Linked DNA regions of Lepisosteus oculatus. The protein of the gene in region 1 interacts with the protein of each later gene in a biochemical or structural test. Links are inferred from orthologs where the notes say so. Each region holds a gene or a part of one and is shown on either strand. Other genes may lie near its edges.

Evidence for each region.
Region 2: the proteins of tnrc6ba (region 1) and ago1 form a complex in vitro, tested with the Homo sapiens proteins (2 studies listed by BioGRID and IntAct). The link is inferred for Lepisosteus oculatus from reciprocal best matches to the Homo sapiens genes TNRC6B and AGO1.

Annotation. Positions count from the first base shown.
Region 1 is NC_090707.1:38,383,048-38,386,954, reverse strand, and holds the start of tnrc6ba (trinucleotide repeat-containing gene 6B protein), read right to left. Parts: upstream 2,519-3,907; 5' UTR 2,361-2,518; intron 1,955-2,360; coding exon of another isoform or gene 1,745-1,954; intron 16-1,744; coding exon of another isoform or gene 1-15. Other genes in the region: probable endonuclease 4, read left to right, coding at 1-15, 1,745-1,954, 2,519-2,701.
Region 2 is NC_090706.1:142,494-146,400, reverse strand, and holds the start of ago1 (protein argonaute-1), read left to right. Parts: upstream 1-1,612; 5' UTR 1,613-2,043; coding exon 2,044-2,068; intron 2,069-3,907.

The DNA.
Region 1 (3,907 bases):
ACGTGTCCATAGCAGGTATCCCGGCACGCACCGTGGACAATACACCCACCTGTAACACGCAGGACGGAGCAGTTGATGACCTTGCTAACACACCCACGGATGTGAATTCACCCTGTGGGTCGTGTGCTTGTTTCGTAGGGGCGGGCATCTGTGACTGTGTCGCCCTGCGGCTAATGCGAAATCAACGTGTTTTTTCCACATTCTGTCGCGTGGACACTGTTCCCTGTCCCTGTATCTCCAGGAAAGCAGCAGAGAAGCGGCGATCTGCCTGCAGCTGTTGCCTTGTCTGCACATCTGTCAGCATGTCCGCACGCCGTCTTTAAAACCGCCTTTTAGTTATTTTTATTAGTGTTTTGTTTATCGAAGAGCATAAGAAAGGCTTCAAACGAAAGGAGGGCAAGTGCTCTCTCGAGCTGTTCTGGGAAAGTCTCTAGGACGTGTGAGTACACCTGTCTCGGGTGTCTTTGCTGTTGTCCTGCTCTGGTTTTGCAAAGCCCTCTGGGACATTGTCATGTAAGCTGCCCCAGCAGTTACAGATCATTACTAAAGCTCCCAAAATGAACACAGCTGCACAGCTGGGGCAAACTCCACCTGCCCCCACAGGCTCTGCCCTTATGGGCAGATCTGAGCAGAGGGTGGTCTCGGTCAACAGTGATGAGCTGACCAACCAGTCTGCTGGCAGTCTGAGACTGAGGCCGTCCAGTGAGTCCAGCAGACTGGACCCCAGTTCTCTGTGTCCTGGTCCTGGAGGAACACTGCTGGTGCTCATTCCAGCATGAACTGGGGTACGAACTGATCTGCTGGCTTGTTAGGACTTGAATTCAGCTTGTTTCTTTGGTCAGTCCTGAATGCCCAAATGCCCACATTCAAGCTCACTGTTTGCAGCTGACTGTGCACGGAGTGTCACTCAGTTGTTCCTGAATTTGCTGGCTCTTATTTCCGGTTAAAGAGCTCCTGCTAGTTAATCAGATATGGCTGGGAATGAGACTATATTAGGGCACACCCTCAACGGGAGGGGCATTGCATTAGACACGCCCATAGTAGGAGTGGCACTGTCAGCCATGCCCACAGGTGTGGGGAGACTCGCATGTCCCTACATCCATAGCAACATTATATCAGACACGCCCAGGGGTGGGAGAGACAGGACACTTCTCAGACGCGCCCACGGGTGGGAGAGACAGGACACTTCTCAGACACGCCCAGGGGTGGGAGAGACAGGACACTTCTCAGACACGCCCACGGGTGGGAGAGACAAGACACCTCTCAGACACGCCCACGGGTGGGAGAGACAAGACACTTCTCAGACGCGCACAGGGGTGGGAGAGACGACACGTCTCAGACACGCCCATGGGTGGGAGAGATAGGACATGTCTCAGACACACCCACGGGTGGGAGAGACAGGACACTTCTCAGACACACCCACGGGTGGGAGAGACAGGACACGTCTCAGACACACCCACGGGTGGGAGAGATAGGACATGTCTCGGACATGTCTCAGACACGCCCACAGGTGGGAGAGACAAGACACCTCTCAGACACGCCCACGGGTGGGAGAGACAGGACACGTCTCAGACACACCCACGGGTGGGAGAGACAGGACACTTCTCAGGCGCGCCCGGGATATTTCCAGGATCTTGGACGGATTCCTCAGGCCTCTGTGGACAGGGGTGACACCTGGCGGGCTCTTGGGGGTGAGCAGGTCTCAGCCCACAAGCGTTGCCTCTCGCCCTCTCGCCCTGTGCAGGGGGCATCTGGAAGGCGGTGGAGGAGTGTGTGTCCTTGGGGGGGCGCTCTTTCGCCATGTTCCTGGGCTCCCAGCGCTCGTGGCAGCGCCCCCCCCTGGACGAGAAGGCGGCGGCCAGGTTCCGGGAGGCCTGCCGCGAACACGGGGTCGAGCCCGCCTTCATTCTGCCTCACGGCTCCTACCTGATGAACTGTGGCTCGCCCAAGCAAGGTGCGTGAGCAGTGCCCCCATTCCAACTCTACTGGTGTGTCTCTCTGTCCAGATCTGTGACCTGTCTCTCTCTCTGTCCAGCTGTGTGTGAGATCTGTGACCTGTCTCTCTCTGTCCAGATGTGTGTGAGATCTGTGACCTGTCTCTCTGTCCAGCTGTATGTGAAGAGCTGTGACCTGTCTCTCAATTCAATTCAATTCAATTCAAGGTGCTTTATTAGCATGACCGATAGGTACAATCAGTGTTGCCAAAGCAAATAAAAATAATAAAATTAACATAGAACAAAACAAAAAATAGAAGTAAAATAAAATCTACAGACATGTTACAGACATTTACAACAAAGACATATTATATAATATTGACATATACTGTAGGCGGCTGGAGCATTATTGGGAGACGGACTCACTGTTCCTCAGGCTGTGACAGGAGATCACATACTGGGCTGCCAGATCAAAAAGATCTCTCTCTCTCTGTCCAGATGTGTGTGAAGAGCTGTGACCTGTCTCTCTCTCTGTCCAGCTGTGTGTGAAGAGCTGTGACCTGTCTCTCTCTCTCTCTGTCCAGATGTGTGTGATAAGAGCAGGGTCCTGCTGGTGGACGAGCTGTCGCGCTGTGCTCAGCTGGGCCTCTCCATGTTTAACCTGCACCCCGGGGCGTCCCTGGGTGACATCACCACTGACCAGTGCATCCAGCGCATCGCCGAGGCGATAGACCACGCCCACCGCCAGGTGCCTGCTGTCATGACGGGTGAGCTGGGCCTGCAGACCCTTCACACACACTGACCGGTGCACACAGACACACCCTCACACACACTGACCGGTGCACACAGACACACCCTCACACACACTGACCGGTGCACACAGACACACCCTCACACACACACTGACCGGTGCACACAGACACACCCTCACACACACTGACCGGTGCACACAGACACACCCTCACACACACTGACCGGTGCACACAGACACACCCTCACACACACACTGACCGGTGCACAGACACACCCTCACACACACACTGACCGGTGCACACAGACACACCCTCACACACACTGACCGGTGCACACAGACACACCCTCACACACACACTGACCGGTGCACAGACACACCCTCACACACACACTGACTGGTGCGCAGACACACCCTCACACACACACTGACTGGTGCGCAGACACACCCTCACACACACACTGACCGGTGCACACAGACACACCCTCACACACACTGACCGGTGCACACAGACACACCCTCACACACACACTGACCGGTGCACAGACACACCCTCACACACACACTGACCGGTGCACACAGACACACCCTCACACACACTGACCGGTGCACACAGACACACCCTCACACACACACTGACCGGTGCACAGACACACCCTCACACACACACTGACTGGTGCGCAGACACACCCTCACACACACACTGACTGGTGCGCAGACACACCCTCACACACACACTGACCGGTGCACACAGACACACCCTCACACACACTGACCGGTGCACAGACTCTCCCTCACACACACTGACCGGTGCACAGACTCTCCCTCACACACACACTGACCGGTGCACAGACACACCCTCACACACACACTGACTGGTGCGCAGACACACCCTCACACACACACTGACCGGTGCACACAGACACACCCTCACACACACACTGACCGGTGCACACAGACACACCCTCACACACACACTGACTGGTGCACACAGACACACCCTCGCACACACACTGACTGGTGCACACAGACACACCCTCGCACACACACTGACCGGTGCACACAGACACACCCTCACACACACTGACCGGTGCACAGACTCTCCCTCACACACACTGACCGGTGCACAGACTCTCCCTCACACACACACTGACCGGTGCACAGACACACCCTCACACACACACTGACTGGTGCGCAGACACACCCTCACACACACACTGAC
Region 2 (3,907 bases), on another chromosome or scaffold:
TTGATGATCTTTTGTTTTTTTAATGTGCCCTCCCTCGAAATGGATCAGACCCTGTTCTTGCCTGTGTGCTGCATGTTGCTCCGAGCTCCATGTGCCTCAAACTCCAGCAACACGCTTCAGATCTCCAGTGCTCCTTACGCCGTGAACGAATGAGCGGGGTGGTGTCAAAGCTGTTAATGGAGATGTGAAAGGCTTTCAGTTTATGCAGTGTTTCGTACCAAACTGTTATGATACTGTGTCCATCTCCTAGCTTTAGCTTGCTGGATTGAGAGACTGCTGCAGGACCCTTCCTTTTTGAAGTGAGCATCTTTCACAGTAGTGATACAGCTGACAACACCCGGCATCAAAGGGAGCGACGGTGTCGCTGCAAGTCTCTGCACAGGCAGGAGGTCGATGTGGGTCAGAAGTGCTGTTGGCCAGGCCATGACATGACAGGGCTGTCCTGCGGCCCGGGCCTGTGCTCTGCAGCACTGCTGGAGGAGGAAACTGTACTACCAGCTCTCCTGTTACTGTGTGACTGTGCAGCAGTTAGACTACCTGTAAGTGGGGAAGAAATTCTTTCTCTGTTTTGTGTATTTAATAAAAATAAGATGCATTTAAAAACCTTTTCAAGTCCTTGCGGGAAGGGAGTTGTATAGCTATGTTGTTGAGAAGATTTATATCCTTCCCTTTTCTAACAGCTTCTCCAAATTCAGGGTCACAGGGGAGCTGGAGCCTAACCTGTAAGCACAGGGCAGGGTACAGCCTGGACAGGACGACGGCCCATCACAGGACACACACTCACACACTCGCAACAGGACACACTCACTCACTCACTATCTCTCCAGGGCCAGTTTTCCCAGAAGACATTTACCTCACCAACATGCCTCCAGGTGAGAATATTCGCTTTACGTGAAAGTCGTAAATAAACTTGGTGTGAATTTATCCGTGATGACACATCAGTGGGTGTCCCTATGCGCAAGCACTTTCTGACAGGGTGCAAAGTGCTTAAATGTAAACATGAAACTTACCCAGCAAACACACATACTTTCAACCCTGCTTTCATGGACTAGTTTTTTGAAACTTGTTCAATTTTAAAAATGTCAGTCTGCCTGAGCTCTGCTTCTACAGTAAATACCATCCACTTTAAAGCCTAAAATAATTGAAAACACTTAGTTATGCACATATACACTGTGTTACTGGGACTTAGTCTTTCCAGAGCATTTGGCTACTTCCAGAGAGAGATGTTTCTCTGTGTTTCACCTTGAATACTCAGTGATAAATACACAAACACAGAGTTAATTACTTCCTGCGTTGTGCTGGAGCCCAGAAGGACACAGAACAAATCTGAGAGGTGGCTTCCAAGTTTAGCTCTTAGACCAGTTTCCTCCCAGTTCAGCAATCTACTCCAGCAGAAGTACGGTCTCAAGGTTTCTGTTGTGATGGTGAAGTTGATCTCAACTGGCATTGCTGGAATAAAGTACTTCTAATTATTTCAGGCAATAAAAACCGTGTCAGTTTTTACAGACTCGATTAATGACCACTTATTACACAGGAAATACGGCGTGAGCAGTGCTAAGCGTCTGGTGCATCTTTCCCAGAGGCTTTTGAGGGGATAAAAAGGACCAACCTCGTGAAGCGAGCGGGTCGGTCCTCCTCGCCGCCAGAGGGCGCCGACAGCAGCGTGTCAAACGCCCCTGCCGCCTGTCTTTTAAGGAATGAGCTGTGCTGCGGGTTGGCGTGTCTTTGTTCCGCTGTGGAGTCCGGAGCGAGCGGAGAGCGGTCAGCCCGCAGAGCCCAGCCGGGACGCAGCTGAGCAGGGAGGCCGGGACGGCAGCGCCAGCCTCCTCGGAGCATCCCGAGATCTGCGGACGCGCATCGCCCAGCCGGCGGGGTATCGGCACCTCCAGGCGCCCGTCTCGGCTGGGGGTCCGATCGGGGACCGGGGTCCGGGGAGCCCACCAGCAGGTTGGGAACAAGGATACGGAGCCGTCGGCGGTGCAGCCGGGGGATCTGTGAGGAAGACCGGGACTTTCCTAGGATCGGCTCCGCAGAGTGAATGGGATGGAACCGGGGCCATCTGGAGCAGGTGAGCCGCTTAGACGGGGTCCAGCGGGACCGTGCGGGCAGCTCCGGGTTCGGCGGGGGAGACTGGACCTGCAGGCGGAGCCCCCGACCCTGACGGGCCGAGAAAGCGGCCAGACTGGTTCGTGTGCCCTAGACTGGGGGGAGGTTGCTGGTCCGGGCAGGGTGACAATGGGAATGCTAATTCGGGGGCAGGAAGGCTGGGGTCACATGCGGGGGCGGGGGTCATGCAGCTGAGGAGACTCGGGTCCGACCCGCGCTCTGCACACGCGAGTCAGGTGAGAGGGGCGTGTCGCGAAGTTCGCACGCTGGAGCGGCAGACCTGACAACTTCCAGCGCTGTGGGCAGAGGGTCTGGGCGCCGCGGTGAGGCAGGTCAGGTCCGTGGAGAGCGGGTCTCCGGCGCTCCTGGCTGGTTAACTGCGGGAATCAGGCTCGTCGGCAGCTCAGATCGGATGACAGAGCCGATGCCTCCCAGGGTAGCACTGGCAGAGCTCAAATCTAACTTTCACTGGTTCACACCTTTCTCTGTTCCTACTTATCAGTGATGTTTTTCCATGTCGTGGCTTGACGTTCTCTGCCCTGGCTTCTGTCCGGCTGGGCAGTGTGGTGTGTCCTGTGCCCACAGGGGTGTGTGCTGCAGGCTGCCCAGCGAGCGTCACCAGGGCTCTGGCTCTGTGGTCTGTAGACCAGTGTAAGTGCCGATGGGCACTAGTGGACACAGGTCTGCTGCTGTGTGTGAGGTAGACGTGCCCTGGGAGTGATGTCAGACGCCTGCCTCGCTGCTTCAGCTGTTAAAATGTGTTCTGCAGCTCAGGTCACGCACATGACGGGGTTCACCCCAGAGCTCACTGCTTCCCTACGTTTGCTCTGAGTCTCACACTTCACCTGGTGTTTCTGGCTGCTGGAACATGCTACATGGTGTCCGGGGTTGTTGCAGAGCCCATGTTTCTGTCCTTATTGCTTTCTCGCTGGCTGTTCCCAGGGTGGTGTTGGACAGAATGCTACGGAGAAACGAAACATCTTATTTCTTGTCACAGCTGAAACACAGTTTCTGTGCCAGTTTCCCTCTCTTGTCCTCGTTGATTTTCATTCCTCCTGGCCTGTTCAGTACTGAATCGGTTTGATTGGCTGGGTTAGACTGGTCCAGATGAGCCCAGTTCTGCTGGTGCTGGGAACTGCTGGACACTGTGCTGTTTTGTCCCTGTGAGACAGATGAGGCCTGAGCCGGTGGTCCTGCTCGCTGCTCTGGTCCCCCCGAACTGCCTGAACGGCCACTGCCACCTGGTCTGCAGTCATGGGGGAACCCCGGGTCCCCAGAAAGCTGCAGGTCTGTGCTGCTGTGTTTGCCAGTGTGAGTCACTGACCTGCGCTTTGGTGGAGTCCCTGTGATCCCAGCTCCCCGGCGACAGGGGGTCCTGGTTGGGGGAGAGCAGGTTGTTGGGACAGAGCCGCTGTCTGGCACGCTGGCGCTGTCTGTCGGGTCTGTGGCTGCTGTGTCTCCGCGTCCCTCTGCCAGCTGGCTGTGTGGCTAATTGCTGAAAGGAGGTGTGAGGGACAGGACCTGTGTGTGTGTGTTCTGGCAGGCTCTGCCCCCTCCCCGGGCCCCCGAATCTCCATGACAATGGGCGTCTCCATGCGTCTCCATGGAGCGGCCAGGAATGTGGCGGGGGGCCGGCCGGCTGACCCGAGCAGCTCTCTCTCAGGCACAGAGATGGCGTTGCGCTGCCGGGCGGCAGTGTGCCAGCCCCTCCAGGCGGAGATCTTCCTCGGCCTCCTTCAGGCACACCCTGACGCTTTTATCTCCAGCTCCACACGTCGCGCGAGTCCTGACTGACAGGCTG